Lonchura striata: one gene and its partner. The protein of the gene in region 1 interacts with the protein of each later gene in a biochemical or structural test. Links are inferred from orthologs where the notes say so. Each region holds a gene or a part of one and is shown on either strand. Other genes may lie near its edges. The genes, in order: ARHGEF16 and TAX1BP3.

What was found.
Region 2: the proteins of ARHGEF16 (region 1) and TAX1BP3 form a complex in vitro, tested with the Homo sapiens proteins (2 studies listed by BioGRID and IntAct, with this or other methods). The link is inferred for Lonchura striata from reciprocal best matches to the Homo sapiens genes ARHGEF16 and TAX1BP3.

The regions. Positions count from the first base shown.
Region 1 is NC_134626.1:3,679,405-3,695,413, forward strand, and holds the start of ARHGEF16 (rho guanine nucleotide exchange factor 16), read left to right. Parts: upstream 1-9,046; 5' UTR 9,047-9,064; intron 9,065-10,451; 5' UTR 10,452-10,476; coding exon 10,477-11,022; intron 11,023-12,314; coding exon 12,315-12,366; intron 12,367-13,057; coding exon 13,058-13,212; intron 13,213-14,712; coding exon 14,713-14,769; intron 14,770-15,174; coding exon 15,175-15,335; intron 15,336-15,799; coding exon 15,800-15,952; intron 15,953-16,009. Other genes in the region: histone-lysine N-methyltransferase PRDM16, read left to right, coding at 1,517-1,651. UniProt on the Homo sapiens protein: Guanyl-nucleotide exchange factor of the RHOG GTPase stimulating the exchange of RHOG-associated GDP for GTP. May play a role in chemotactic cell migration by mediating the activation of RAC1 by EPHA2.
Region 2 is NC_134622.1:8,395,388-8,411,626, forward strand, and holds TAX1BP3 (tax1-binding protein 3), read left to right. Parts: upstream 1-7,985; 5' UTR 7,986-8,032; coding exon 8,033-8,071; intron 8,072-9,455; coding exon 9,456-9,575; intron 9,576-9,847; coding exon 9,848-9,925; intron 9,926-10,152; coding exon 10,153-10,290; 3' UTR 10,291-11,678; downstream 11,679-16,239. Other genes in the region: P2RX5 (P2X purinoceptor 5), read left to right, coding at 596-671, 997-1,093, 1,456-1,536, 2,034-2,172, 2,760-2,896, 3,158-3,251, 3,738-3,803, 4,136-4,218 and 1 more; EMC6 (ER membrane protein complex subunit 6), read right to left, coding at 7,121-7,453; CTNS (cystinosin), read right to left, coding at 12,514-12,644, 12,999-13,116, 13,320-13,490, 14,538-14,657, 14,751-14,850, 15,571-15,702. UniProt on the Homo sapiens protein: May regulate a number of protein-protein interactions by competing for PDZ domain binding sites. Binds CTNNB1 and may thereby act as an inhibitor of the Wnt signaling pathway. Competes with LIN7A for KCNJ4 binding, and thereby promotes KCNJ4 internalization.

The DNA of each region.
Region 1 (16,009 bases):
GTCTGTGTGTGCTTTCTGCTTTTTCATTTGCCAAAATACCCAGTCTGGGTTAATGGAGTTGATCTCTTGATCCCTCCACGAGGATCCTCACAGAAAAACTGTTCAGTGAACTTACCTCAGCAGGCTGGGCTGGAGAGAGGAAACTCAGCCCATGCTGGGGGATGAGTTCAGCTCTCACCTCAGGGGTCCTTTCTGACCCTAAAGCAACAGAATTTATCCCAAAATCTATTTCAAATGTCCAGCAGAGCAGTAGCTTAGTGCAACCACCACGCAGAACATGATTTTTAAATTAGAATCATCCAAAACTTGGGAAATTTTTTTCCTCCTTCATAGTGGGTGCCAGTAGTGAGGCTGGTGAGGGGCTGCTGGAAGAGAGAGCACAGCAGATTTTTGGGGTGACACCCATTTAAACACAAGCCACTTGCCTGACTCTTCCCTGTGTCCTGTCACTAACATCCCAAATGCACTAACTCTTTGGGAACAGCTTGCTCTTTTCCGATGCACCACCCTGGTACAGCCTGTGCTTGGATGGGGGAAGGTATTTTTGGTTTTTGACCCTGTTTTTCACTTGAATCACAATAAGCAAGTTAAATAATTTGACCCATCTTTTGGCAGGTAATATAAAGCCTTTGTGTGAGTCCTTTGGCTTAGTTTTAAGAAATTTTAGAAGTGTGTGTGTCCACAAAACCACAAAACTCTATCTCTTCCCTGGGCCAGGGGGGTGGGGAGGGTGGGGACCATGTTCTCCTCTTTTTCAGGTGACAATGACATTGGTTTTCCCCTCTGCTGTGTGAGGTTCTCATCTGCCTAAGCCCTCAGATCACTTGTGTGGGCTGAGAAAAGGCACAGGGAGATGTGTGGGTCAAATCCTGTGTCCTGGTGGGGGACAGCAGCCCAGGTTACAAGGAACCAGCAGTTTGTTAGAGGACAAACAAGTCTGGCTGCATTTCTCTCAGCAGACACCTTTAAGGGTCTCACTGCAGCACTAAACCCACCCTGACCACACTGGTGATGCCCGTGAGAGTTCCACAACCCCAAATATCCACACTGGCATCGCCAGTGAGGCCATGCCAGGCATTGAGTCAGGATGAGCAGCTGCTCACCACTTCCCACTGGGCACTGCTGCCCCATTCCCAGGGCACTGCTGCCCCAGCCCAGCCTCGCTGATGCCTGGGGATGTGATTTTTTTAATAACAATTTCCAGTAAGAGCTGCTTTCCCCTGGGAGCAGAGCCTGAAATCATGTAGAGGTTTGTGAGTGAGCACAGGCAGTGCAGGATGGGTTTGATCCTGTGCAAACCAGTGGGAATGATGGTGTCTCCTGACTGTCCCTATAAAGCATGACAAATCTGGTTTTTTCAGAGGTGGGTGCCATCCCAGAGCGTGGATGTGAGTTTAGCCCAGCACACAGGACGCTGCTGGCCCAGGTGGGCAGGGTTGGGTGGTGCTGTGTTTTACACACAGAGCTCCTCCATCCCGTGTTCTCACTCGTGCCCTTGCCTCCCTCTCTCCCCCAGGCTTATGCAATGATGCTGTCCCTGTCTGAGAACGCTCCCCTCCACACGTCCTCCCAGAACTCTCTGGGGGCTTGGCTGGACATGGCAGGAGCAGCTTCAGAGTCGGGGACCTTTAACCCCATCAACCACCTCTGAGAGGTCCACAAGGCACTGGCCGGAGCCCAGGCAGGGGTGGTGGTGCTGCAGCCATCCCAGCAAAATCCCAGCGAGCAGAAGATGGATGAGAGAGCCTCAGGGAGTCGTCTGGACTTTGGGCTGAGAAGGAAACCTGTCACATCCGACCTACACGTCCTGCATTTTTTATCTCTCTAGAGTTCTCCTTTCTAATTTATCAGAATGAACCTCTCCCAAACTGGATAACCCTGAAGCAGCCCCAGGATTTCACAGCCTGTAGGAATAGCATGAGCAAGACACGAATTGCAACAGTGCAATCAAAGATTGGCCCCTCCAACCTTCCAAACCGGTGTCACTGAGCCAGCACAGCCTGAGCAGGAATGACAGCTTGGAACCACAGGGCAGCATTTCCTTCCCATCCAGCTGAAATGGTGAAGCACCGAGGGAAGACAGCCAGGTGTGGCCTGTCCCCAGTGCAATTGTGACACAGCCACTGGAGTTATGCCAGGGAAAGGCAAATTCAACCCACTTAACTCACCGCCCCCAAAAGAATTCTGCACTCCCACCGAAACACCACCCTGTCCTTTGTTCCCAGGAAACACTGGCGCAGTGCAGAGCTCCTCCAAGGTGAGGCCACCTTGCCTGCAGTCATGGTGAGCCACGTGCAGCTCCCAGCTGAGACCTCTCCGGCCTGGAACGTGCTGAGGTGGGGGTGACAGATGTGGCACACGGACACGGGTGGTCGGCGGTGCCCTGAGCAAGGCTGGCAGGGCTCCCTGCCCCTCCTGGTTCCAGCGAGGCTGGGAGTGCCTGGGACAGAGCCAGGCTGGTGGAGCTCCTGGAAATTCTTGGATTTGCCCAACAGAGAGGTGGTGGGGTAAAGCCTTCTCCAGCTGGAAGGAACCGTGTGCTGGGCGAGCCTCACCTGCCCCGGGCAGCTGGGACACGTCTGCTCGTGTGTCAGGGTTCAGGGTGACATCACCCGTGCTGGTGATGCTGTCTCTGGCACAGATCTCTGATTCACACCGTTGTTTTGGCCTGGTTTTCCCTCTGCACTACCTGCTGCTGCCCAGCCTGTGATTTAAGTACAAAGGTGAACATTTCCATGCTCCAGCTGCCTGAAGGGTGCAGAGCACGGAGATCAGAATCCAGCTGTCTCTCTGACTCTAAGATTTCTCATTGAGATTTTATGAGTGATTTCCAAGCACTTCCAAACCTCACCTTGTCTACTGATATACAGCAGCCTCCACAAATCGTGTGGGCTTTGTGCTGTTCTCCTCTGTGGAGCGGGGAATTTGGAGATGACATTCCTTTTTGGAATGGTTAGGAAAGCCATGGAGAAGGGCAGATGGAGGGTTCCTAGCCAGTCTAGTGTGGGAAGCCTCGTCCCAGCAGGCCAAAACAACAGAACAAGTTCCCTGAGCAAAGCAGAGTCAGAGTTGTGGGTGACACCTTTGCAAGTCAGCTTTGCACCCAAGAGCACATGTGAGGCTGAATTTGGGGAGCCCCAGAGTGCCCCCACAGGAAAGCATCCAGGGTGGCTTTGGTACAGAGGGAACAAAAGGTAAATTAGCAGGACAAGTGCATTTCCCAAGGAAATTTACTCTTCCCTTTTTGGTTTTCCACGACATCCTGTGAAAGTGCCCAAGGCTCTGAGAGCACCAGGCGGTGTGACCGAGCTGCTTCACGTATTTGCACAAAGCTCCTGGGTAGGCAGAGCCCGAGAGCTGACCCTGCCGGAGGAATCCCGGCTCTGTGGAGGAGAGGGACAGCCCCATCCCATCCCATCCCATCCCATCCCATCCCATCCCATCCCATCCCATCCCATCCCATCCCATCCCATCCCATCCCCACTCCACAGGCTGCAGCACAGCCCTGCCCAGGCACTTGGCCTTTAAATTATTCCCACAGGGGCCAACTGAAAATAATAAAAGGATTGTTTCTTTTCCTGATGGAATTTATTTTAATCTGTATATAACTTGTCATTTTGGCCTAATTCCTTTCTTATTTTATTTCTTCCTTAACAGTATTTTTTTTTTTTTTTACATTAGCTATCATTCTTGTGAAGAAATCATGTTAATATAAGTATCTAGTGAAGGACCAAAATCGTGCTGATGAGGTTGGATGTTGGATAAGCAGGGAGCAGGGAGATTTTGTCCATGTGCCAAATGAGCCCAGTCAGTGCTGCCAGTGGTGCTGCTGACCTCCAGACAATCATCCCTCGGCTCCCCTTTGCCTTGAAGCTCCTGGGGCATTAGAGGAAGGTTCCAGTGATTGGGAGCAGCACAGGAGGAAGAGGAGGAGGAGGCCAGTGGAGATGCTGTGCCTCTGCTCCAGGAGAACATGGGAACAGCCTTAAACATGGGCATGGATCCATCCTGTCCCATTCCAGCTGCAGCTCCGTGACTCCTGGCGGCTGCTCAGAGCAAGCCACGTGTCTGAGCATCTCTCTGCTGTGCTGGAACAGGATCTGTGGGCAGCAGTGAGTGTTTGTGTGCTCTGACCGTGCTTTGCTCACCCTTGAAGAAACCTCAGGGCAGGTCAGCACCGCCCTCCACAGCACGGGGAGGTGACAGAGCAGCTGAGGGAGTGGCACTGAGCTGGACACCAAAATGTGGGCCAATATTAAGGAATGCAAGTGTTATTGTGGGCATTTATTTGGGGTATTTATGGTTTCCCTGTCCCTCTCTCAGCCCTGCTGTCAGTTGTATCATTTCTCCAGAAGCACTTGGTCAGGTCTTTGCTCTGACTGAGCTTACACTGTTGCTGTCCCCCTCCCCAGGCTCATTCTGGCTCTCCATGGATATCCTGAGGGTCCCTGGCCGAGGATAGAGAGGTATTATCCAGCCAGGGATTGTGGACATTAAAAATATAGGGTTTAAAATCACCTTTTTTTTTTTCTTTTCATATTTCCTAATTCAGTTGCTCCCCATTTTCTCTAGCTTGTGTTGTAGGATCCCCAACTCCTCTAATTAAGCACTGATTACAAGTTTCAATTTTTCCCATTAAGATAAAGAAACAGGAAGCCTCACTGAACTTCTGTTAACCTCTACCTTTCGTCAGATTGCACTTGGAACGTGCTGCAGCTCACAGCAGGTGTGGAGGTCCCATTTTGCTGCTTTAGCAGAGAATCTCACCTTTTCCAGGCTGCTTCCCGAGAGGTTTGTGCCCAGGACGCTCTGCTAGCAGAGCACTGCTGGCTTCCCAGGGCTGGGGAGGCTCTGGGAGCTTTGGTGAGACATGGAGCTGTGGTGTCCAACCCCACGGACACGCTGGGATCCAGGGCAGGTGAGGGTGGCAGGGATGGGAAGTGGCTGCGGTGTGGCCGGTAGCCAGGGCACCGCTCCAGGTGTGGTTTAAACCCAGAGCTTTGTGTAGGATCTATTTATTTAAAGTATTTTCACAGCTGCAACAGCACAGAGGAGAGAAGGAGAAGCCCTGGGGATTTTTGGATTGGTCAGGCGGGGCTGGGAGCTGCGCAGGGCTGAAGCGTTGGTGCTCCATGGAGGGCCCTTGCTTTGGCCAGGGCTGGACCTTCCTGCCTGAGCTGGTCAGGGAGGAGGATGTGTGTCCCGTGTCTGTGCATTCCCTGCTTCCCACCAGCTCCGAGCTGGAGGCTGGTCCTGGTGTGATTGCTGTGGCTGGTGCAGACAGCTGGGAGCTCTCCAGTGGGATGAGCTGAGCTTCTCCCAGGGGATGTGCTGCGGTGCCAGGTCCTGCAGGACACGTCGAGGCACCCGGTTCTCCTGTGGGCCGCTGGGTTCCTCCCTGGGATGTGCCCTTTGGCGCTCGGGCTGCTCTGGGCACCTTCCCAAGGTGTCCCAGGCCAGCAGGCCGTGCCTCGCCGGGCGCCAGGGGCCCTCGATGCGCGGGAGCCAAACCCAGACGGGGCTGAACGAACCCCAGCGGGTGAGCCCAGCCGATTCCGGGACTAACACCCTGCTGGGCTCCTGTCCTCCCTGGGACAGTGCAGAGGAAGCTTTTGCCCCCTCCCCAGCCAGCACTTAGGCACTCAGAGGCTGCTCTTGGCAGCAGCTCCTGGCAGAGCCTTCGGGACGCGCTCGCACAATGAGGCGAACGCGTTGGGCGCCGAGCGTCGAAGCACTGGATCGTGAGCCCCCCGCGCCCCCCGATCTGCCAGCTCAATCTGCTGATCCCCACTCGGTTTTTACGTGCTGTACTGTGTGTGTGTGTGTGTGGCGGGGCGCGGGGGGCAGCGCTGGGGACCCTGCCCCTTTTTGGGGGGACCCTGAGCCGTGGGGACAGCGCTGTCGCCAAGGGCAGGAGCGGCGTGGCTCGGGTCAGTGCTGGCAGCACAAAGGGCAAAACCCTTCTGCTCCTCGCCGGTGGTCAGTAGTGTTCTCACAAAGCCATGAAACTTCTCCGTAGTGTTGAGTGGAACTGTGACTAAAAGGTTCTCGAATGATTCCGAGGTTCTTTTTTTCCTCTTTCTTCTGTTGTTAATTCTTATTACCACTTTGGAAGAAGAAATTTAAAACAAACAAACAAACAAAAAAAATTTAAAAAAATTTACAAAAAAAAAAAAAAAAAAAGAACGAAAAAGAAAAAAAAGGCAGCTTTGATTTTCCAAATGTGCAATTCACATGTGAACAAAGTAATTCTGAAAGTAATTCTCAGTGTATTTTACATTCTCATTGCTCTCTTCAAAGCAAGAGATGTTTTGCCCTGATGTCATTTCCAGCCTGCAGAAGATGTAATTTAAAACATATATATATTGTGCTTGCAAGAATCATAAATCTGTGCATCCTATGTCATTCCTTTTCCCATTGTTACAATACAGATATGATTTAGGTTGGATTTTTTTTTTCCTTTAGACCTGTATAGTGTTTTTTTAAATCAATTGTAAATGTCTGGTTTTCATATAATGTTTAAAAAACATTGAGAAAGAGGATGGTGCTTGTTCCATATCATTCTTGATTGTATATTGCTTCTGTTATGTTTATAAGTAAACTGTGCATGACTTGTGTTTAGCAGTCATTATTGTGTCCGTTTGTGAAATTTTTATTAAAAAGAAAAAATTCCGTAGATGCACTTATTGTATATGTGATTAGATTTTGCGTCCGAGGCTCGAAGCCTTGAACTGCCAAGGAAGAAAGAAAAAGTGTTGGCAGTTATTAATTAATATGGAATCGCTTTGTTGGGAGCATAATGAAATAAAAGATATGAAGTGTAGAAAATAATTAAAAAAAAAAAGGCAATTTTACAAATTTCATTTTGATGCTTGTGATAAAAGACAAATGTACTTGTGTAGAGAAATTCCTTTAAAATAATGAATAGAAAAAGCTGATTTTGAGGTTAATGCTGTAGAATAGGAATGTATACCAAATGTAATCTTTCCAATGCTACAATGAATTTATACATGAGATTGATATGCAATAAACCTGTGTGCTTTTATAAGCAGTGGTCCCATGAGCTTCTTTTCATGGAATAACCATGGAGAACGTCCCCAATAATGGGACACTGTGTGTGTCACTGTCTGGCTTTGCTGCTCTGTGGTACCTCTGGAGTCTGATGTTGTGTGTGTGTGGTTTTTAATACTCGAAAGAGCTTAAAAAAATTAATTATGGCCACCCCACTTGCTGCTGAGGTCAGAATCATGGAATCACAGCATGATTAAGGTTGGAAAAGCTCTCCAAGGCCATCCAGTCCAGCCTGTGCCCAATCCCCACCTTGTCCCCAGCCCAGAGCCCTGGGTGCCAGGTCCAGGCCTTCCTTGGACACCTCCAGGGATGGGCACTCCAAACCTCCCTGGGCATCCCCAGCCAAGGCCTGGCCACCTTTTCCATTAAAATATTCTTCCTCATATCCAACCTGAACCTCCCCTGGCACAACTTGAGGCTGTTTGATCCTGTCCCTTGTTGTCCTCCTGTCAGGGAGCTGTGCAGAGCCAGAGGTCCCCCCTGAACCTCCTTTTCTCCAGGCTGAGCCCCCCCAGCTCCTTCAGCCTCTCTTCACAGGACTTCCCCAGCTCTGTGCCCTTCTCTGGAAGTGTTTTAGCCCCTCAACCATTCTCTTTTGTGAGGTGCTCAGAGCTGGACAGAGCCTCCCTAGTGTAAAGCAGGTACATCACATCCCACTGAAGGGACGGGATGAGAGGGAATACTCTCAGAGGGAGGACTGAGAGTATTCCAGGTGTGGGAGAAAATGTTGGGATGGGGCATCGGTGAGCTGATGGAAAATGTCAAGCATATTTCCTTTCACTACCAGAGCGCAGAGCGAGTGAACTGCCCAGTGATAGCGGCCAGATGGTTCAGCTCCAGGGGACTCTGTGAGCAGAAATTACTTGAAAGCCGGGTCTTTGAGCTAAAAACCCCATTACACAACTGATGAATGGCCTCGCTTCAAAAAGTCATTCATGGTGATCAAATGATGGTGTCCCACATTCGGGATAATGGCCCTTCCCCGGAGATCGGGAGGGTTTCATTCGGAGCTGAACCCTTGAGTAGGAGCCCTCCTCTCGCTGGAGCCTTTCTCCTTATTAGCCCCGGAGGGAAAGGATAAAAAATCTATGGGATAAGAAAGCTGTGATAATGGGGCGATTGTCAGGCAGGCCCCGGAGTGGAGAGAACAGAGGCATTTCAAAGAATATTGCTGACAAGTGGACTTTGTCATGCACAGAGAGCTTGAGATTCACCACAAACAAGTGAGAAAAAGGCCCCATTTGGAGGATGGGGAGGAGCAGAACAGGGGGGCAAAAGAGAAGGTCAAGGAAAAGTCTGCTCCCAATAAAGACACAGAGCACTGTTGAGCCTTACTGGGCAGCTGGGTTACTGGGCGGCAGTCAGCAGCCTGACCCTCAAATCCTCTTTCCCAGCAGAGAAAGATCCTCTTTCCCAGCGCCCAAAAGCAGCCGAAATAGATGTTTTGTACAACCGGAGGGATCGCCCGAGGTCACCTTTGACCACTGAAGACCCAACTAAAGCGAGCATCAGACATGCCTGCAGTAAGGGACAGTCCCTGGGCTGCTGAAATACCGAGTGTGTGTCGGCCAGACCCCGAGGACAGCCGGGGCACACTGCTTTGTCACCCGCTGAGGTGACAGGAGAGCGACACTGGTTTGTCACCCGCTGAGGTGACAGCGAGCTTGCAGAGGCGGCTTTAGGGGATGGAGGATGCCCAGATCCAGCAGCGCCGCTCCGCGCACACCCCTGATGAACGCTCATCAAGAAGCAGCAAAACACTGTTCCTAGCGAAGTTTAATTAATTTTTCACCCCTAGGAAGCCGGAGCGACCGCGGGACGGGGCGCGGCAGGCAGCAGAGCGCTGCTCGGCGCCGGGATGCGCGGACACCGGGCACAGCCCGGCACGGCCCCGGGGGCCGCACCGGCACCTCCCCCGGTCCCGCCCCGGTCCCTCCCATCCCTTGCCGGTCCCTCCCATCCCTCCCCGCCGCGCTGGCTCCGAGGGGCGCGGGTAGGTGCGGGCGTGGCGGGGCCGGGGCGGGGGCGCTGCGGAAGGACCGGGGACCCCGGGGAGGGACCGGCACCGGCACCGGGGCTGCCGGGCAGCCGTGCGGGCGGCGGCCCCGGGCCGGCGGCCACCGAGCGCCTTCCGGGGAGGGGACGGCGGCGAGCGCTGTGCCGTCCCTCCGAGCGCAGCCGGGGCTCGTCCTCCCGCGGCTCTGTCGCCGCCGTCCCCGAGGTGCCGGGGGGTGGTTGGGTCCGTCGCAGAGGGGGTTTTTTTGGGTGCTTCCCGGGGCTGTATCCCGCCGTGCTCCCAGCCCTTTCAGAGCCTCGCCCCCTGCACCGCAGCCCGGGGCGCGTAGGGGTGGCGGTACCGGGTTGCGGTGCCCGTGCGCCCCCGCGGGCGGTGACGCGGGGGATCGGTGCCCTGTGTGGCCACCGAGCCTCCCTCCAGCCCGGCACCGTGCACGCTGCAGCCCCAGACCCTCTGCGGTCAGGCCTGTTCATTGCCACCAGGACTCAGCCAGGATGGGGTTAAGAGCGGAACGTGGCGCTTTGCTCGTCCGAGGGACACTTGGCAGAGCTCCGGACGCAGAGCGTGTGTCCCGCATCCCAGGACATTGGAATGAGCAGCCTCTGTCAAACGAGCTGTTGTTGATGGGTCTGTGCTGTCCTCCTGCCAGTCATTCATGGGAGGGAAAAGCACGGTCCAGCCTTGGTTTGTTTCCTGGTCTTTGAAAGGAAACAGCTTGGAGATGGCACTGGTGCACAATGGGGTCTCAGTTGAGGACAGCTTAACCATCATTTCTCCCGAAGTTATGTAATAGGCAGAGGGCATAAAACTCTCTGTCCGTTCTGTAGGTGCATGGTTCTGTGCGTGGCACAGGAGGGGGTGAGTGACCTTAACCCCAGCTGGCAGCCCCAGGGACTGGGGCAGGTGTTTTTGTGGGCAGCAGGTGTGGGGCAAGTGGGAGCTTGGAGGGTTGACGGCCAGGGATCCACAGCCCGGGGGAGGTGGCAGTCAGGAGCGCACAGAGGTGGCTGGCAGCACCCCAAAGGGGAATGAGGGGACACGGAGGTGTGGCAGCAGCGGGGCTGGGAGAGGATCCAGGCCTGCCCAGCTCAGGTCTGAGCCTGCCCAGGCTGCTCTGGAGCCTGGCTGCTCTCATGCCTCCCTGCTCCCATTCCTGACCACACAGGTGGCCCCACAAGGAGCAGGGTGGTGACAGCATCCCCAGTGTGTCCATACAGGCCCTGCCTGCAGCGACCCTGCACTCCTGACACAGGAGTGTCCTGCGCTGTCCCAAGGTTCCTGTGGCTCTGTAAATTCCTGCTGCCTTACTGGGAGGTGTTTAGCCACCCATCTGTCTGTCAGTCTGTCTGTCTGTCCTCCTCAGCTTGCTGCTCCCGCAGGCCACCACCATGTCTCGGGGCTCCTCTGGTACCTCTGTGGATGACAAGACCTTGCTCCTGGAGTACCGATGCCACCCAGCACGGCCAGAGCCCCCCAGCCCGACGTGTGGCCCTGGGAAGCGCAGCCCCACCACGGCTCCCAGTGCCAGCCCGCTGTCACCGCTGGCCTCCCCCACCTCGGCCGAGCCCCGCCGCATCGTGCTCAGCACGGACAGCCCTGCCGCGCTGAAGGTGGGAACGCAGCAGCTCATCCCCAGGAGCTTGGCCGTCTCCTCCAAGCCCAAGAACAGCCCCTCCCGGCACCAGAGCTGCGGGGCCAGCCGGGAGCCCCTGAGCCCCGACCCGGAGCGGGCGGCCGTGCCCGTGCTGGCGCTGGAGGCGGAGGATGAGGATGATGGCGGAGGGTTCCTCAAGCGCAACCTGAGGAACATGTCCTACCGCGCGGCCATGAAGGGGCTGGGGGCCGAGCCGGAGCCAGCCAAGGCCGCTCCCTCGCTGAAACCCCTGCCCGAGGATGGCAGCGCCCCGCCCGATCGCAGCCCCGGCAGGAGCAAGGTGGGTTTAGCACCCGCTGTCCCCCCTGTGGGTCAGGGATGAACTCCTGCTTCCCTGGTGCTGACAAAGTGTGAGAACCCCGGGCTTGGTCTGGGGTCTCGTGGGGTGGTAAAGTCTCTCCTCCAACCCATGCTTCCAAAGAAAAACTCTGCAGCCTCTTGTTGTCCAGTCTCAAGGCAGTTTATTGTGAGTTATGTAAAAGATTTTCTTCTCGGGCTGCTGTGGTTTGCTCACAGCTCAGGCAGAGGCGCACACACACACATCCTGACATCCTCTCTGTCTGCTGTCTTCTTCTTCTCCCTCCCCCCACAGGGCTGCTGCTGTCTTTTATATGTTATATTACGTATTACATGTTTATAGTTTCCCGCAATACCTACTACCTATATTACAAAGTGCTTTTCTACTCTAAACCAATCTGTGAGTGCCAGCATCACCAAGAACATGGAGGCAAGGAAGAAGAAGGAGGAAGAACAGGATCAGCCCACTTTCCTCCATCTTAGAACTTCTGACCCCCATGTACAAAGTAAAACCCCCCCCGTACAGGTGCTAAAACCCCCCTGTACAATACTAAAAAATTTCCCCTCTGTTTTGTAACTACTTTTACTATAGTATCTATCCCTTTGTGACTGTTCCACCTCCAAAGTTGGTAACTCATCCCATGGCTCAAACTCAAAATCACAGCTGTTTGCAGCTGCCTGCTGGGGTCTAAAATGCTCCTGACCAAGGCCTGGAACCTCTAAAAATGTCTGAGGGACATTTTGGGTTCCAACAACAGAGGAGCTGCAGGGCCACAGCTCCAGTCAGTTCTGGAGCTGCTTTGCTGAGCCTGGTGTCAAGACTGGAGCCTTGGGAAGCTCCATGTCACCAGCAGATGCTGCAGGTTCCTGGGGAGGCTGGGAATAGTTTTCCTGGGGAGTGGAGCTGGACTCTTGGCAGGCACTTGCGAGGTGTTTGCAGGGTGGGGCTGGCCGGGAGAGCGGCTCCAGTCGTACACAAACATGGGTGAAGCACGTCTGGGGAAAGGGAAACTCCAGAGCAGGCAAAGTCCAGGTGCGAGAGAGATTTGACAGCAGCAGTGCAAGTACAGAATGGTTCTGAGCGTGACCCTGGCTGTATGGGAGGTGAAAGCTGAGTCACCTGGGTAAGGCAAACAGAGCCCACACAAAAGCCAGGCTGAAAGAACAGGGTGGTGTGGGCCAGCTGGCACAGGTAACTCCCCCTCTTCCTGAGGGAGCTTTCCCAGGGCCTCAGCAGTGTGGCAACCACAGCAGGCTCTCCTCTTGCCCTTGCAGAGAACCCTCGGGCGGAAGCGAGTGCAGAAGCGTGGTGGCTCCTTCAAGGACCGTGAGTGCCTCTGGCCCCTGAGCCTTCCCCACTGAGCTGCTCCCTGGCCGTGGCTTTTGTCTGTTCCCCCAAAGCAACAGGAGCATTGCTGCCCTGCTCTCCCACTCCTGGGACCATGGATTTGTCTCTGTTCCCCCAAACAGGAGCATTGCTGCCCTGCTCTCCCACTCCTGAGGCCATGGATTTGTCTCTGTTCCCCCAAAGCAATGGAGCATTGCTGCCCTGCTTTCCCACTCCTGGCACCATGGATTTGTCTCTGTTCCCCCAAACAGGAGCATTGCTGCCCTGCTCTCCCACTCCTGGGGCCATGGATTTGTCTGGGTTCCCCCAAAGCAATGGAGCATTGCTGCCCTGCTTTCCCACTCCTGGCACCATGGATTTGTCTCTGTTCCCCCAAACAGGAGCATTGCTGCCCTGCTCTCCCATTCCTGGGGCTGATAAGGCTCCGTTGCTGCCATGCCCACAGATGGATTCTCCCAGGGAGAATGGGAGAGCTGTGGGAGGCTGCTGGGAGCAGGAGCCTCCGTGTGATCAGTGCAGTGCAAAGTCCAAACCTCATCAGGGAGTTTCTGGCCCCGGGCTGGCTGGAGCTTGTTGGCCGGTGGCCAGCAGGGCAAGGCAGCCGTGGTGGGAAGGGAAGCCATGAGCTGGGAGAGGCTGCTGGGCTGACCTCGTGCCTTGTCCTCCGCAGAGCCCCGGCTGTATCAGGAGATCCGTGAGAGAGGGCTGAACTCGGTCAGCCACGAGTCAGACGAGGACTTGCTGGAGGAGCCGTCCCCTCTGGGCGCTGCCATCGTGGTGCAGAGCTACCGCCCGGCTCAGGTCACCTGGAGCCAGCTCCCGGAGGTAGGAACAGCAGCCTGGAGGGTCTGGGAGCTGTGAGGGGATAATTCCAGCCATTGGTGCTTGCTGTGACACGCAGGGTCTGCCTCATCCTTCCCATTTCTGCCCAGGTGGTGCTGCTGTGCTTGGGCTTCACCCACAGCACAGGGGAAGGCAGGTGCTCCTTGCTGGGCTTCCCCTGCAGGATGTGGGGACAGCAATTCTTCATCCGGGGAGTGGCAGCAGCTGCTGGGGGCTGGGGGAGCTGGGGATAATGCAGGGGGTGATGCAGGAGTGAGTGGTGGTGGTGTGTGATGGTTTCTGATGGTTTCTGATGGGTTCCTTTGATGTGTGGTGGTGTGTTGCAGTGTGTGATGGTTTATGATGGTTTCTGATGGCTTGTGATGGTTTGAGATGATTTCTGTTGGTTTGTAGTGGTTTGTGATGGGTTCCTTTGGTGTTTGCTGGTGTGCTACAATGTGTGATGGGTTGGGATGGTCTGTGGTGGTGTGTTACAGTGTGTGATGGTGTGTGATGGTGTGTGATGGTGTGTACTGGTTTCTGATGGGTTGTGATGGTTTGTGGTGGTGTGTTACAGTGTGTGATGGGTTGGGATGGTCTGTGGTGGTGTGTTACAGTGTGTGATGGTTTCTGATGGATTGTGACAGGTTGTGGTGGTTTGTGGTGGTGTGTCACAGTGTATGATGGTTTCTGATGGTTTGTGGAGATGTGTCACAGTGTGATGTTTTGTGATGGTTTCTGATGGTTTCTGATGGTTTGTGGAGGTGTGTCACAGTGTGATGTTTTGTGATGGTTTCTGATGGTTTCTGATGGTGTGTCACAGTGTGTGCTGGTTTCTGATGGTTTGTGCTGGTATGTCACAGTGTGTGCTGGTTTCTGAAGGTGTGTGCTGGTGTGTCACAGTGTGTAATGTTTTGTGATGGTTTATGATGGTTTCTGATGGTGTGTCACAGTGTGTGCTGGTTTCTGGAGGTTTCTGATGGTGTGTCACAGTGTGTGCTGGTCTCTGATGGTGTGTGATGGTGTGTCACAGTGTGTAATGTTTTCTGATGGTTTCTGATGGTGTGTGATGGTGTGTTGCAGTGTGTTATTGTGTGTCACAGTGTGTGCTGGTTTCTGATGGTGTGTCACAGTGTGTGATTGTTTCTGATGGTTTCTGATGGTGTGTCACAGTGCGTGCTGGTCTCTGATGGTGTGCCACAGTGTGTACTGGTTTCTGATGGTGTGTCACAGTGTGTGATTGTTTCTGATGGTTTCTGATGGTGTGTCACAGTGTGTGCTGGTCTCTGATGGTGTGCCACAGTGTGTGCTGGTTTCTGATGGTGTGTCACAGTGTGTGATTGTTTCTGATGGTTTCTGATGGTGTGTCACAGTGCGTGCTGGTTTCTGGAGGTTTCTGACGGGTCCCTTGGGTGAGTGCTGCTGGGCTGGGCGTGGGGAGGCTGGCACAGCCCCAGACCGCACTAGAGGGCGTGCAAGGACCGTGGCTCCGCTCGTCCCCAGGTTCTGGATTCGGGCATCCTGCAGAGGATCTCCCCCGAGGAGCGCAAGCGCCAGGAGGTGAGAGGGGCCTGGGACGTGCCTGGGAGCACAGCGGGGGCACCCAAGCCCGTGGGACACGCGTGGCTCTGTCAGGGACAGCTCATGGTGCTGCTGCTCCCAGCTGCTCCAGGACTGGGCAGTGCTGGGAGGGCTCACTGCACTAATTGGTGGGGAAACAGGCAGCTCCACTGGGTGCTGGTGGGAAGGGAAAACATCTTCATGCTGTGGCTTTTTAACGACTGAGTGTCCTAAAACACACTGGGATTATTGGTATTGGCCAGGCCATGCATGAGGTGACACAGAGAACCAGCACAGAGCCAAGTCATTTCCAGTGGCTTTGTGCCAAAGAGTGTAAATAAGATTTAACAGTTAATTCCCAGCTTTGTCCAGTTTATGCTGCTGCATCTTCCCTGCTTTCTCCAGGCAATGTTTGAGATCATCACTTCTGAGTACTCCTACATGCACAGCCTGAGCATCCTGGTGGGCCACTTCATGAGGTCAGAGGAGCTGAAGGAGACCATGACTCAGACAGAGCACCACCACCTCTTCTCCAACATTGGGGACATCCTGACAGTCAGCACGAGGCAAGCAGGGCCTGGGGCTGGGACCAGGCAGGCCTGGGAGGGGACCCTGAGCTTTTTGTTTGTAGTGCTGAACCAGCCATCCCTTGGATTGCTGAAAGTACTCACTGGGAGGTGGGGAGGAAATGCCTTGGGAGCCAGTGCTCAGCGAGCTGTGGCCGTGTGGGAAGGCAGCAGGAGGAGGATGCAGCAGCCCTGGGAATGGCTGTGGGGGTGTTGAGGCTTGTGGTTCCCTGATGGGGCAGAAATAAACCTCATGGAGGGCTGAGGTGCAGGAGGGATCCCATGCAGGAATGAAGCGTGTGTCTCTGGAGAAGGCGTGGGTGTCTCAGCTGCTGGAGCTGCCCTGCCAGAAGGGATCCAGGCCCCATCTCCTCTGGGAAAACTGGGGAAAAGCAGCAGTGGGAACATTCCTTTGTCCAGCCCCAGTGAGTCATGTGGTGTGGCTGTTGAAATTCTCTCCTCAGCTTCTTTGAGGACTTGGAGAAGCGACACCAGGAGCACCTCCTGATCCCTGACATCAGTGACATCGTGGAGGAGCACGCCTCGAAGCACTTCAACCCCTACATCAGCTACTGCTCCAATGAAGTCTATCAGCACAGGACACTGGAAAAGCTGCTGTGAGTAAGGGCTTGGGCTGGCCAAGGAATTGCCTCTGAGGGGCTCTGGGCTCCAGG
Region 2 (16,239 bases), on another chromosome or scaffold:
CATCCTGGAAATGCTGAACATGCAGGCTCTCGTTACCTCCCAGACACAGGGTGGTTGCCCAGCACCTTCCAGAACATGCCCTGAAAGCATGAGGTGCTTGTGGCATGTGGAATATCCTCTGTGGAGATGTCTGGAGTGGGCTGGGGCTCGGGGAGGAAGCTGTGCTGTGCAGGGAGAGCTTTGTCCATGGAGCAGAAGGATTTTCCATGTCACACCGGGGGCACAGCTGGCTTGCTCAGGGCACTGCTCTCCTCTGGTGGCCGAGCAGCCGGGACAGGGGCACATTTGGGCACGAGAACTTTGTGGCTTAGATCCAAGGTAGGGTTATCTTAAAGCAAAATGGGCTCCTGCCTGGTTTTGCTGAGTACTAATGTTGGTTTTTTTAAGTCTGCCCCTCTCCAGACTGAGCAGAACCCAAACCTGGGAGGGTGTGGCTGAATGCTGGTGCTTCTGGTGGTGGGATATGTTTGCATGACCCCCATTTACCACTTCAGCTGTGTGGTTTTAGTGCTCACACAGAATCTGCCCCATGTCAGCAGAAATTTCTCTGGCTCTGGTGTCCTTTTTGTCACTTGTGTCCTTTTCCCCTCTGCAGAGTGCCAACATTCCTGATGCCCTGTGTGACAAGGACACGGACTGCCTGGAAGGGGAAGCAGTGGTGGCTGGCAATGGTAAGACATGTCCCTGTCTGTGTTGTGTCTGGTGGTCTTCAGAGCCCTCAGCCCGGGTACACCCCCAAATCTCTGATTACAGAGAGCACCAAGGCCTTTCTTTCCTTTCATCTCTTTTCTTAAGATCCCTGCCTTGCTTACAGCTCTGTGGTAGCTGGGCCAGGGAACCCTGGGCTGCTCAGAGACACAACAAGAGGGCGTTTGTTCCAGCTGAGAGGCCCTTTCAGCAGGGAGGAGAGGGAAAATCCTCTGTTTTCACATGCCCTGTGGGCAAGGAGAGGAGGTGACTGCTCGGTGTGACCTTTTCTGTGATGTCTGCTCACAGGGGTTAAGACTGGCCGTTGTTTGAAAGACAAGGGCAGCACCAGAGGGACTTGTGAGATACTGGCCTGGTGCCCAGTGGAGAAAAGATCCAAGCCCAAGTACGTGTCTTATTTCCAAGCTTGAGTTGCTTGGCTTGTGTGTCACCCAGGGCAGTTCCTGTGTCCCTCTGCTTGGGTGCTTGCTGGAATGTTGGCTGATCAGTGCAGGAGGGGGCTCTGCAAGGCTCTCCTGGCAGGACTGGCCCTCTGCTCCCCCTGCTTCCCTCCCTGGCTGCTCCCAGCTCTCGGGGTGTCTCTGGACCTGCACGCTCCTCACCAACCCCTTGCTGGCACTGTGGGGGAAGTGGCACAGCTGGCCTGGTGCCATCCAACCTATTGGATGAAGCTGCTTCTGAAATGGCAATTCAAAATTTCACACGTGGGCCGGGGACAAAGACAGAGAACAAACCCTTCTCTTCCAGGAAACCACTGCTGGGCAGTGCAGAAAACTTCACTGTTTACATCAAGAACTCCATTCGCTTCCCCAAGTTTAAGTTCTCCAAGTAAGTGCCACAGGTTCCTGAGCTGCTCCTGCTCAATAGATATTCCCTCTCCTCCAGAAAAATAAAGTGCCTGGACAAGGCTGACAAAAAATGAAAATTTAACAAATATGTTTGCCTTTGCTGCTGCAATGTGAACAAACTAAAGCAGCGCAGAAATGTGCACGTTCTGGTTCTTGTCCTGGGCTCAGATAGGCTTTTCTAGAGTTCTTTTGTTTTCCCTTGAGACAAGCAGATGGCCCTGGAGCAGTTTGGCAATCTGTTCTGTGTGAGCCCTTTCTTGAGCCCAGATTCAGCTGGCCAAATCATTTTCTGGCCAGGAGGTCATTTCTGGGGGAGAGACTGCTTTCCCCAGGCCAGCAGCAGAGACACTCACAGGGTGACAAGGCTGCCGTGCACAGAGGGTGTTGGAGAAGCCTCTTGTCTCTGCAGTCCTGCTGCAGGCTCTGAAGACAAGGAAAGAGGGAGCCAAGGTGGATTTCCCTGTTTCCTACATGCAGGATGAATGTGCTGGCAACTGACAACGAGTCCTACCTGAAGACCTGTCGGTACAGCCAGGAGCATCCCTACTGCCCCATCTTCGTGCTGGGGAACATCGTCCGCTGGGCTGGGGGCAACTTCCAGGAAATGGCCTCGGAGGTAGGAGGGTCCCCAGGGCTCGTGGGTGATCCCAGCTGGCTCACTGCTCACTGGGAGGCTCTGAGGAGTCACTGCCCAGGGAGCTGCCTCCTGCCCAGGCTGCACTGCAGAGGTACCAATGCTTAAAGTCAGGCTGGTTCCATTTATCCTGACCCCAGGGAATGGGGGTCCTCTCAAAAAGCTGGTTGGGTCAGTTATTTCTATTCAAGGCTGCCCAAACTGCTGCTCTGCCAGCAGGGATTCTTCATTTAATTTCAACATTACCACACGATTGGTTTAAAGCCAGAACTCTGTAAATCCACCCCGGCATAAAAGTCTTCCCCACTGAAGTGTAGAATGGAATGAAATTAATGTCCTGGGATGAGAAACTTCTGGATACCAGCACAGAGAGAAGTGGGGTTGTAGAGTAGTAACAGGATTAATGTCACACACCTGAACTCAGCCCAGGCAGGAGTGTGTGCCCCTTGTTTGACCAGAAGTGCAGCTGTTTCTTGCCCCTGGGGAAAGCCTGCCCAAGGGTCTGACAAATTTGAAGACACTTTAACTGAACTAAGCTTAAACAACTCACCCTGTCTCTCTCTTTTAAGGGTGGTGTGATAGGAATTCAGATTGAATGGAACTGTGATCTTGATAAAGCCCCTTCTGAATGTAATCCTCACTATTCTTTTAGCCGGCTGGATAACAAGTCTGCAGAAACCTCCATCTCTTCTGGGTACAACTTCAGGTGGGTACAGAGGAGGGCACAATGCAGTACCACAGCTGGGCTGGGCTGCTTGGACTGGCAGGTGCTGAGTTTGGCAGTGAGTGGCACCAGCCTGTGCCAGGCACTGCTGCAGCCGAGCTCAGAGCGCTGCAGAGGAGGGAGGGAGGTAGGGAGTGCTCCTGGCAGGCTAAAGTTGGCTTTGATGAGGGAACAGATCTCTTTGAAGGGATGAGAGGCTTCAGAGGGGCAGGTGGAATTAAAGGCAGCACTGTTGTATTCCAGGTTTGCCAAGTATTACCGGGATGCTGAGGGGGTCGACTACCGGACGCTCATTAAAGCGTACGGAATCCGCTTCGATGTGATGGTGAATGGCAAGGTGAGAGCCAGGTCAGGATGTCCCAGAGCCTGCAGAGAAAGGAAGTGGGGGGAGGCAGCTCTGCGAGGAGGACAGCCTCTCTGGCTTGTTGTAGAAAGGGCTTTTCCCATCCATCCATGTGGAGCTAATCCCCATGTGAGAGAGATCACCTGTAGTGCAGCTAAGCCTGCACCTCCTCTACTTAAAACCAGGCTCATGTAAAGCCTTAACAGAAATAAATGTGCCCCAGAGGCTTGTTTTCCATGTGCAAGCACTGCAGAGAGAAAAAGCCTAATCCAGGGATGATGCAAGCTCAGAAATGCAGTTAGGGACAGTCAGATCTAAGACACAGAGACCTTCAGCCTCCACTGCAAATCCCCTGTGGTTGTGCCTGGGAACAAAACGCACCCAGGGGCAGCAGCAGCTTCCCCAGTGCAGTACCACACCCTTGAGTTTGTTTTGTGGGTTGTTCTCTCAGTGGTGACTTCATGACCTTTGTTCTTCCAGGCAGGGAAATTTAACATCATTCCCACCATTATCAATATCAGCTCGGGGCTGGCACTCATGGGAGCTGTAAGTGAATGTTTTATCTCAAAGTAACCCCAAGGGACCCACACCCCAAATAGGATGGGGGGTTTAAACCTTCTCCAGCAGAATCTTTACTACTCAGCCAGGTGTGTGTCTATGTCCTCCTTCCTTCAGTGCCTGGTTCTTTCTTAATAAACCTAGTAGTCTAAACACCCCCACAATCTGTATATTACATATACATACTCTGGAAAATGCATGGACAATGAAGGCAAACACAGTTTCTACAAGTTATCCTTTCATTCATGCTCATTTCTAATGAGTTCAGAATACTTCCTCTTCCTTTCAAAGATAAACCACAAGTTTTTTTCCCTTTGCAGGGAGCTTTCTTTTGTGACCTGGTGCTGCTATATTTGATCAAGAAGAGTAACTTTTATCGAGGCAAAAAGTATGAGGAAGTCAAGTAAGTGGGCCTGGTTTTGTGTTAAAAATCATGGCTTTTTGTTAAGACTGATAGAAATAGGAGGACATACAGGAGCACAGTTCCAGGGAAATATATTCTTCCAAATTATTTTGGCCAAGTTATTGGCTTCCTCTGTAATTCCTTGCTGCAATGAGCTGGGAGGAAAGGCAGCTGCTGTGTCAGGGTTGGACTGGCAATGGCCTCGTGAAACTGAGATGTGGAGGGGCTTTTGGGGTAAGGTGAGACAGGCCTGGCTGGGAACATTTTTGCCTCCTGAAACAAACCCAGGCTGCTCATCCTGTCCTTGTGCCTGTTTGCCCAGGTCCAGCTCCAGGAAGTCCTTGTCGAGCCCTACGCTGAACGGGAATCAGAGCCCAGAGCAGCTCGGCGAGCTCTAGGCACAGCAGTGGCTCTGCCAGCTGGACTCCTGCTCCAGGAAATCCACACTGGTGTGGCACCACACCAGCACTGGGAGGTGGATGTACCCCAGGTCAGGCCTACTATGATCAGGATTCCCAGAGGACAAAACCTTCTTTAAAGACTGTCTTTCTTCCCAGAGATTTCTCTGGTAGCCTGAGCTTGCAACGTGTTGTCACTATGGATTTATAAAAGGATTTTTATAAAAGGACAAAGAAGGCACAAAAATGAATGTTTTTATATCCACTGATAGATATATCTGTACTTATGCCAGTAGCCAGCATTGTCCTGTGGCTGTGCTTTGCTTCCACGTGGAGAAAAGCTGTGATGGGAGCACTTTGGGAAGGGCTGAAGCTGAAACCCAACCTGTTTCCTGCTCTGCTGCCCTGGCAGCCACTGCCTCCAGCTCCTGCCTGGGTGATGTGACATCCGTTGTGAAGCAGCAGGACTGCTCTGCTCAGGAAGTGCAGGGAAATGTGGCATTGGAGCAGCTCTTGGGGCTGGGAAGGGGCTGTGATCCTGCAGGGCCTGAGGCAGGGGGGCCCTGGAAGCACCTGCACAGCTTCTGCCTCCTTCCTTCAGTGCCTGGTTTCATTTGCTCGGGACTGTCCTTGCTGTGTCACTGCCTGATTCTGTGGTGGCAGAGCTGGATGGACACTCAGTGCCTCTGTTTCTCACAGCACCCTGGGCTGTGCTGCACACTGAGAAGGGCAGCTGTGCCAGGGACATGGGCTGGGCCAACCTCCTCCAAATACACCAACAGCAGGGAAGTTAGAACATATCTGCCTGCTACTTCAACACCAGTGACCTCCAGGAAATACAAGTGCTTGTCTCTCAGCAGCATCAGTCTCCTTGCAGCCTATTTTGTCCATTTATCTCATGTGGGGAGGTGAATAATCTCAGAAAAGGGCTTAAGGAATATGATTGTGTTCTGTACATGCTGCCCCATCACCACTGTGAGCTGTCCTGATAAAGATTAAATGTTTTTGTGCATGCTTTGAATACCAAAAGTTACAGGGCTCCTTCTGCAGTGTCTGAGGGTGGCATCAGGGAGCTGCTGCCATCGAGCGTCTGCACAAATGGCACCAGCAGCTGCACCCAGCTCTGCTGTAACTTATTTAAAGTCGTTACTCTGAGGTACAGGTTCATCCTAAATTAAAGTTCACCTGTTAGCAGTGGCAAACTCTGAACCCAGCCACTGACAGCAAACCCCACCCAGTCTAGGTCCCCACCTCTGCTTCTGTGTAGCGAGCAAAAAATGGGGCTAGAAAATAGAATTAAACAGTGGAGTTCATTTAGGTTAAGCTGTATACCTTTGGTGCTCTGATCTCATCCAAAACCTTCTCTCCATGTCAGAAGTCTCTCTTCAAGGCAAACACAAGTCACCATGTGGGGAACTGCACAAGAGTTACCACCAGGCTTTTGACTGTTAGGGTTAATTAAAACTCTGTGTTTCACCATCTAGAAGTTGTGTAATTTCTAGATGGTGAAACACATGAAGAACCCCCCCATGTGACATCAGGGCCTGGCACAACTCCTGGCACCCAAGCAGCTCCTCCTGATGTGCAGAGCTGACTGTGCTCTGCTGAAACCATTGTTTTAACTTGCCAAAACATCCTCCTGTGAGATGACCAAAGCTATTTCCTGAATCTAAGTCTCCAGGCCCCCCAGATCCCCTAGAGTGTTTCCTTTCTTTAGACTCTGTAACACAACTCCTACAAGCCCTGCTGTTAATAAAACATAACCAGAGTCCTTCTCAGGACTTGTTTCTTGACTTTGACTTTTTTTTTCTCCTTGTGTTTCTTGTTCAGCAATAAAATGTGTCACTTCAGGCCAGTGCTCCCTGGGAGTGTTCTGTAAGTGTTTTTTCAGGTCACACCACCTTCTCCTGGTGATAGTGATGTGAGCACATTGATGAATCACTTATTTTCACAGAACAGGGCTATAGGAAAGGCATTACCTGGATGGTGCGTGATGGAATTATCCCCTATTGTGGCTGTTCTAGAGACCAGTGACAGTGCCATTTACTGATGGCAGTCAGGGAAGAGAGCATTTGCATGTATGTTTCTGTGCCAAACCTTTACATCCACTTAGTTATTTCCTTTTGTCAGCAAAATTATTTTTAAGTAATTTAATTATTTCAGGTTGCCGTGTTACTGCTGTAATGTTTGTGTGTAGGGACAGGCAGCACATCCAGAGGGGATTGTAACTGGTGTGTGTATCCAGGGAATATATCAATCAAACCCCACAGCTGTGCCTGCTCTTAGGGACAGAAATTACCCCCTAACAAGGAAACAAGGAGGCATCCAAGCGGTGCTTCACATTCAGTTTTAATAGAACAGTGCTACTGATTAATTTGTACTTGGACATAATTTACCAACAGCATTAACGACACGAGCCACGGACAACAGTGTGGAAAGTGAGCCGGCCTATGGTGTAGTGACTTTTGGCAACAGTCCCGCCGCTCCGTCCGCCGCGGAGCTGCTCAGTACACGTGAACCATTCCGTACAGGAAAGTCCAGAACAGGACGTAGGTGAAGAGCCCTCCCACCAGCCCCCCCGTGAACAGCGGCCTCCGCGACTTGAAGTACTTGTTCCACCGCCGCCCGGCTTTCAGCACCAGCAGCACGGAGAGGAGGACGGAGGCCAGGAAGTAGAAGATGAAGCCGTGCAGGCCGGTGAGGCCGAGGATGCCGGCCGTGGCGCCCGACAGGGCGGACACCGAGGTGCGGCAATAGTCCAGGATGGCCGCGTTGCCCCGCACCGCCGCCTCGCTGATGAACTGCGGCCCCTCGCGCTTGGCCACCACGGCGGCCATGGCTCCGCGCCGGGCTCGGGCAGCTCCTCGCTCGCACCGACACTGAGGTGAAGCAAACGCGCTGTACGAGCCCGCCCGCCCTCAGGCCGCCGGGAGAGCCCCGCGGGCCCTCCCGCCGCCCCTCCCCTTCCTCCGTACCTCTCATCCACGGCGGCGCCCAGCCCCGCCGCTCCGTCAGGCCTCGCACCGCGCCGAGGGACCCCGCTCAGCGCCCGTCACCGCGGGCCGCCCGCCGGGCCCGGCCCGCCCCGACCGCGCCGCCGCCACCGCCCGGCCGCCATCTTGCCTTGGGGGCCGACGGGACGCGGCCGCGCGGGCGGCGCGCCGTGGGCGGGGCGGCTGCGGATTGGCTGGCGGGGAGCGAAGGGCGGGGTCGGATTGGCTGGCGGGGAGCGAAGGGCGGGGTCGGATTGGCTGGCGGGGAGCGAAGGGCGGGGTCGGATTGGCTGGCGGGGAGCGAAGGGCGGGGTCGGATTGGCTGGCGGGGAGCGAAGGGCGGGGTCGGATTGGCTGGCGGGGAGCGGGAGGCGGGGCCGGGCGAGGCGCTTTTGTTCGGGCGGCGGCGGTGGCGGGGCGGACATGGCGTTCGTACCGGGGCAGCCGGTCACCGCCGTGGTGGTGAGTGGGCACGGGAGGGGCGGGCACGGCGTTCCTACCGGCCCAGCCGGTCACCATTATCCCGGGGATACCGTGCCGAGGTGGCGGCTGCTGGCGGGGATGGAGAGGTGGATGCGGGTGGTGCCCGGCAGCGCCCTGCGCGCTGTCACGGGCGGAGGTGCCGCCCCGGGGCAGCTCCGGTTCGCGGGTGCGGGGAAGGAGCGGGCGAAGGCTGCGGGGTTAGGCACGGCACACGGGTGACGGTGCCGGTGCCCGGCAGTCGGAGGGTGGAGGTCCCCGGGCAGCCCCGCTCCGCGGCCGCTCTGTCCGCAGCGCCGCCGGCCCCGGTTGCCGCCCCGCAGCCGCTCCCCGCTGCGTGGGCTGTCAGATTCTCCGTCCGGGATAGCGGCTGGGAGAACAGAGCGGAAACTCCGCCGGGCGGAGGGACCGACCCCCGGCCGGGGATGCTCGGGCGTTGCTTTAGAGAAGAGGGAGCGAGAGACACGCGTTCTCCCGGTACCGGGACCCCGCGGCAGCCGAGCCCAATCTCGGTGCGGATCCCCCTCTGCGAGGGCAGAGCAGGATAAGCACCTGCGTGTCTGGGTGGGGTTAGGAAGCAGAGCTTTTAAAGGGAGATAATGGCTTTAATCAGCACGAAGTGCGAGTGAGGGATTTGTGCTTTCCTCTGCCTGCAGCGGTAACTGGGGTTGTGCTTGCGTGGATGGCTCCGATGTTTGGAATCCAGGGAGTTTGGAATTCAGTGGGGAAGTTCAGGGTCTGTGTGACAGGGCCATGAGAGGAGAATCACAGAGTGGTTTGGGTTGGAAGGCACCCATGAAGGTAATCTCATCCAATCCCCTGCAATGAGCAGGAACATCTTCCATTAGATAGGGTCGTAGCACTTTTCGAGAGGTTGCTGTGTCAGTTAAGACCGTGGCTTTTCACCCTGGCTCAGGAATTAATTGCACCAGCTGGCATTTCTACAATGCTGACATAATGCACAAAGCTGGTCAGATGCCTCTGTGCATCAGGCAGTGAGGAACCTGCCCCGGGTTACAAAAGTTATCCTGAAAAAGAGCCATCCTAATAATAGGTTGTTATTTCTGCTGATAGGACTAGCAGGAACATAAGGCATGTGGATAATGAGCAAGATGAGGCTGGTCATGAGTAACTGCTGGTTATCAAGGCATGAGTCATGTTTAAAGAGACCTGCTCTGGTTTTAGTGTTGTTCCCTTCTATTCCTGGGCAGGCAGGACAGCTCTGAGTAATTGAGGGGCTGGGCTGTGTCGTGGGATCTCTGTGAAAAACAGTCTAACTGGATCTGAATTATCAGCGTCTGAAATGCACTTGAGATTTCTTCCACTTGTCACAATGCTCAGCTATTTGATCTCTTTCTCTTTCCAGCAAAGAATTGAAATACATAAGCTTCGTCAAGGTGACAATTTAATTCTGGGATTCAGCATTGGGGGTGGCATTGATCAGGACCCTACTCAGAATCCTTTCTCTGAAGATAAGACTGACAAGGTCAGATAATCTTTTTCTGTAGCAAGTCCCTCTCCCAAAGGCTGACCCAAGTCATCATCTGCCCTCTACCACAGCTACTCTCTTGCCCCATTATCACTTGTAGATCCAGTTATTCAAGTGACTTCTACACCTTTTCTATTTTCCAACATTGCATGAGCCTGTTTTTAACTAAAATCTCATAATACACTAGAGTTTTTCTGTGTTGTCAATCAAATGGCCCTTGAATACTGAATCCTTCCACATTTAGTAAATGAGCACTAATTTTTTCCCAGGGTATCTACGTAACAAGGGTGACACAGGGAGGCCCGGCAGAAGTTGCAGGACTCCAGATTGGAGATAAGATCATGCAGGTAAGCACCAAGATAAGACAGTAGTGATGTAGTACCAGCTGCACCCTGCAGAGAAGCATCTGCTGGGGAAAATAATCTTCTGGGTACTTACCAGGACAGTTTGTAGGGTTTATAAATAAACTGAGCTGTGGCATAAAACCATATCCACTACATGGTTCTGATAGAACAGTTACAGGACACCTGTGAGTCCTTGCATTTGCCTTATTTTATGTTTTTTTTTTTCCCAGGTGAATGGCTGGGATATGACAATGGTGACCCATGACCAGGCCAGGAAGAGGCTGACCAAAAGGAATGAGGAGGTGGTACGGCTGCTGGTGACCAGGCAGTCCCTGCAGAAGGCTGTGCAGCAATCCATGATGTCCTAATCCATCATCCAGCTGGGGAGGGGGTGGGAAGGGAGATGTATAGACTGCTATCAAAGAAAGAAGCAACTATTAGACTGGAACAGGTTGTCTGGAAGGAGTGCATGTTCCTACCTGTGGTAAACACTACTTTTTTATTTTAACTTCTTCTGGTGTAACTGGCAGTAGTAAAACAATACTCCCCTCAGCAGAGTGCTTCTCTAAAGTCTGCCCTGCAGGTACATGGCAAGACTTCTGTAGTCATGACTTTCAGGACAGGACAGACCCAAGTTATCTAAGAGCAACTGGAAAAGCCTTAACTTGGACAGGATTCTTCTGTAGCACAAAAGCCTCCTATTTTAGGAGGAAATGTGGTTTCTGCTATGGGAGACCAGAGGGTTTGCTGTGCCTAAGCTTTTAGAAGGGAGCTGTCCTGTCCCCCACATTGCTACCAAATTCATATGCCAGAGTTAAGAGCTGCACAGTGCTGTGGGGAGGAGCACTGTACTAATCCTTCACTGTGTGCAAGATAGAGAGTGGCTGAAAGGTTTGGGGCATTACAGTTTCCTGCAAAGATTCCCTGGACAAAGCAGCCTCTTGAGGCAAGAAACAGCTGAGTAACAAACAAGTGTTAGATCAATGCCTGTGAAGTACACTACAATTTAATGGACACTACAGTTCAACCTCACTGGCAGGGTAAAACCTGAATTCTCCTTACTCCCAGTTTGTACCATCAGCTGAATTGAGTTTAATTGAGCAGGAAACAAAGCAATGTTCCTGAACCTACCAGAAATGCTGCTCATAGCTGTAGAGTTTTCAGGCCTTCATTCCACTTCTATCTGACTTGAAATGGGAGGGATTTTGGTTTGTGTTTTAGAAGTTTCTGCTTAAATCAGTGATTTATTGGATGGAAGAGATGACTATGCCAGTAATTTGCAGAAGTGCCTCTTGACCAAATTTAAACTTCTAGTAGGATACTAAGTGTTTTAAATCAACATGCCACAGGACTGAAGAGTCTTGCTGCAACTCTAAGTCCATGATCTAGCATCCTGTGGTTTGTTAGCCAGTTAGCTTTACAATTATCCAAAACCTGGAGTTTTTAATCCTTTTCAGTTGATCTATACATATCTATAGTTTCTTTAAGCAGCCTTGAGGTAAGCTGTTGTAAATAGAGCATGAGGAGGTGGCCAACTAATTTATTCAGTACCTCACTGCAGCAGATGCCTACTTACCAATTTTATATCTCTGGAATTACTACAATTCTGCTTTGGAATTTTGTAATTTAAGAATTCAGTAGTAAATTTTAAGTCTTTCAAGTTGGAGTTATTTTTGTTACTATAAAGATACACTGCTATTTGTACTGCTTTTTTCACTTGATTTTACACACAATAAAACAAAATTGGTTTTCCTGAGTTGTTTTTCCTTATATTTGAGTGTGCCATATGACTTGGGTGCCTCTAGCTGTGACCTTTTTTGGCTTAAGAGTAGATTGTGGAATTACTGAGATCAGTAAGGTCTAGTTTCACTGATGGGGAACTGTCAAACCTCATCTGAGATCTAGTTTTCCTTAGGTTGACACCTAGAAAGACACATAAGGTTCTAAGCATTCAAGTATAAATGCACAGATTCCCTTCTAATTACTTGTCTTAGCACCTTTGAAAGAGCTTTCAGTGAAATAAGAATACAGCTTCTGGTTTTTTAGGATTTTTTTTAATAAAGAGTTCAAATTGTACCAACCCCATTATTGTGATGTACTGCTGTGGCCAGCCTGAGTGGTGATGGACTGTGAGCTGTCTGGGAAAGGTCAGCAGCAGCACTTGGATCCACAGACAGCCTTCAGTCATTACTTAAAGATATTAAGTGGTTGCTTAAACATGATTCAGATTTTTGGAAGACAGAACTCTGCTCTTTGTGCTTCACCTCCAATCAGAAAGACATCACTTTGGTCTTTCTCTTCCCTGTGGTTGGTGAAAAAAGAGCCATGTGTTGCTTGGACAGCTCCTTCTGAGCTGTGTGTGCAGCTCCATCAGGCACGAGTCTCCCATGTGCAGCTGAGAGCTTGCTGTCCTTAAGGCATCTGGCAGCCAGTGCTTGGCAAGGCAACATTTTGTGTTCCAGCCCAGAGAGGATCAAGTGACAGAGATCAGAATCAGTATTTCTGGTAACTGGCAGCAAGAATCTTGAAAGCCCTCAGACAGGGTAGGGCCAAGTTCAGTTTAAAGTTTTAATCTCCACAAGTGATGTTTGTTATTCACAAGGTTCATACCCTCGTCTCCTGTACAGGCAGTAGTGCTGGGCCATGAAAACAATATCAAAGACAATGGAGAAGACACCCAGGCCAAACTTGGTTGGATCTCCAAAGATTAACCTCCACTCATCTGTCAAACACAAAATTAGAGTTAAGTCTGACTCCTCAAGTGTAGTCTTGTCTTCAGACCCTTTAGAGAAGTTCATGTCTATTACCTGGACTGCTCAGACACACCTAAAACTAACTGCAGTGCACACCTTATGCAAAGTTAATTAATAACTGTTCCTGTGGTTTCTTCAGGATGACTACTTCATTTTATATCTTGAGGGAATATGAACAGATCCTTTATCCTTTCTATAAGAACAGCTCCCCACACAGAGCACAAACATCATTCTTCTGAGATAACCTTCTGCTTTATATCTGCTTTATATCTGCTTTGCAGTGGGACTTTCCATCCCATTAAGCACCTCAGTTCCAGGCTTACCATTGTTGTATGACTGCAGAAACATTTGGAGAAGGCTGAAGCTTCCCCCAGTGAAGTCCAGTAACACATTTCCAATACTCCATCCCTCAGTGCTCTTCCTACGGAAATTCATGTAGGCCTGGGAGTGTGACAGAAGTCAGTCAGAGTGTCATGCACAGGCATTTGGGATTGAATTTCAAGCAGCTTTCAGTACAATTCTACTGGTTTGTCACTGTTAATAAATAATCATTGGTGGTTTAGTCTCTTCAGACTTTCAAGAGCATGCACTGCAGCTTTAGGGTGGCAGGGATATGGAATGCAAGCAGAATAATTCAGATTTACCTGTGGGAAGTATTTTATGAGTGTGACTGCTAACTTAATGTAGGAGAAGCAGAACAAGAACTGCAGCCATGTCATCACCTCAGCTGCAGCCAGGAACAGCGTTGTGAAGGTGAAGATCCATGCAAGTGCCAGGAGTCCAACAACAACTTTGGATACTTTCTGACCTGCTCTCTGAAATACAAACACAGATACATTTTGGCCAGGTCACACATCCCCAGACACAAAGATACAGTTTGCTCAGGATCATGCAATGCTACACTCCAAACCTGTTTTACCAGTCAGGCTGGTACCACAAGGAGAACTTTAAAATTAAGCAAGTGCTACAGCAGCCAGCTGGAGGCTTCCAAGAGCTGAAGAGCAATATTCATATCAATAATTTAAAACACTGCTGTCCCTGAGCAAGAGGCAGCAGTGTTCTTGAGTATTTATGGTGCATAATCTGTAACAAATCTCCAAAATGCAACCTGATGAGATCAAGAGTTCCTGTAGGCACAAAAGGCTGATAATACCATTATGGTAAAAGATTTATGGTTGCTTTCTAATTCTTCAATAGAAAAATTCTGTAGTACCTGTCAATGATGACAGATGGGCTGTTACAGTTTTAGATTTAGCATGACCAGAGGAAGAACCCCAAGAGGGAAACAGTTACCATCTAGAGAAAATTGGCCTGTTCAGATGAGAGTCGTTTACAGTGAAAATCAAACAAAGAACCACCTGGCTGAAACAATCAATGGGATTAAGTAAGAATCACTTGACTGTAACAATCAGTCTCACTTGAAAAGGTGAGAATTATGAAAGGGCATTTACAGCTGTTTTAGGAAAGCAGTTGAAAAAACTGTGTTTAAATTGCAGGGAGTATCTAAAGCCCTATCATAGCTTGAAGAATGCTCCAAAGAAACAGCAAAGCATTTGTGCTGTGAAGAGCTGTAATCTATGTGCTGGCTAGTGATCTATTTGGGAACTTTATGAACTTGGCTGTTTGCCTCAGTTATTTTGAGTCCCTTAGGAGTTTACTTATGAGCTCAGAACATCCACGAGGCTGAAGTAGATAAGATTTGCTCAGGAAAGCTGAAGGCAGCTAGACTGTGAAGGTTGGCTCCTGTGATGGCCGGTGGAAGTGCAGGGAATTTGGGATTTTGGAGCCCAAATGGAGCAGGGAGGTGCCTGGCAGAGGGAGGTCTGGCAGAGCCCACAGGTGAACCCAGCACCCAGACCCACCTCGTAGATGCAGCACTGGATGATGGTGAGGAGGGTCAGGGCTACTGCGTGGAGACTGAAGAAAACATCATTGATGGCCACAGGGTTCACCCCGCTGGGATAACTGACCAGGAATTCCTCCTAAAGGTAAGAGAAAGCAAAACCAGCCACGTGTCTTAACTCCCTACTGCACATACCCACCCCCACCACATGCTAAGACACAATTATGCTTACCTTAATTAAGGGAATCCAGAAGAGCCCAACATTAAACACACTGTATGCTATAAAGCCAGTGAGGTTTAATGCTATGAAGTCAAAGCTTAGTCCAACAACACTAGAGAAGGGGGGGGGGGAAAAAGAGAAACATGCATTAGAGAGTTACAGGCAGTTCCAGGGACAAATTGACCCTGGAATGTATTTATTTAAAGCAGTTTGTGGTGAAAGCAAAAGCTTCAGGCATTGTGACCACACAACACTGTGAGTTCATCAGGACTCGGGGTGAAATAACAGAGCTCACATGGATCAATTTTTGTCTTTGCTCTTTAACTGCAGCGCTCCATGAGCTCAGCCTGTCTGATAAAGCCCTTCCAGCCTGAATCCATAAAGCACAAGTGCATCATTGCCAGGTCAAATGGTTTCATTTTCATATATGATAATGTTCCTACCTCGAGTCACTTAGCTCAAGGGGAGCTTGGCCTAATGATGACACTATAAGGAGGTGTCTGAGAAACACCTCTCAAGGCTGGTAATCTCTGAAAGTGATTATCACAGCTGCCTCAGCCAGGTGATTTACAACACAGCACCAAAAGGAATGGGGAAGTCTCCTCTATCACAAATTCGTATTAGATGCCAAATCTTAGGATCAGGTGTTTGTAGGATGCACTTGGTTTCCCTCTAACCTGCCTACATAAAATCTCACTAGGGCTGCAATTATTCAGACCCTACCTTTGCATTTTTCCCCCCCCTTTCCACAGAAAATTCCAAATAACCAAGACTGAAGCTAGGAACATGATTTGCAGAAGTGCTTTAGTGACTTGCAAACACATCTCTTTACCTTTTCCTTCGCCAGTTCTCAAAGAGTTGAGGATAAAAGGAGATGGACCAGGCGATGAAATAGATCCAGCCAATCACCTCATCAGCATATCTCACTATGATGCTGTGAATCACTTGAAATTGAATCCTATGCCTGATGGTGAATGGAAGAAGAATAAGTTAATTAATGCTTTTTTCAGGAGATTTTATCATATTCTTCTCTGAGAGAAGAGAGTCCAGGTGTTGAGACACGACAATAAAGATTCAGTTGGGTTCAGCTGAGTTGCTCCCCTTTTCATTTGTGACCTTGTTATGTTTGGGACATCTCCCACTCCCCAAGTCTTTCCTTTCCATCCTTTTACCATGGGAATGTTCCCAAAGGTCACTTTGTACCTGTGGCTTCCACTCTCTCAGCACAGGGTCTGTGAGGCAAGAGCAGAGCTGCACTCCTCACCCTTGTGATTGTGCTGCCCTGTGAGCGTTCCACGTGCTGGCCTCTGCCTTCACCTCGAGTCTCAAAAGCAGAAGCAAAACAAGGAAGTAAAACAAGAGTACCCTGTTGCTCAGTAATATCTGAGCCATAGGCAAATGCAATCGAGCTTTCTCCATCTGGCTAGGATTTTCCCAGGAGGGAGAACTGGCATTTGTGAGGAGAGGGCTCCCCTAACTGACACACCCCAGGAAGTCCAGA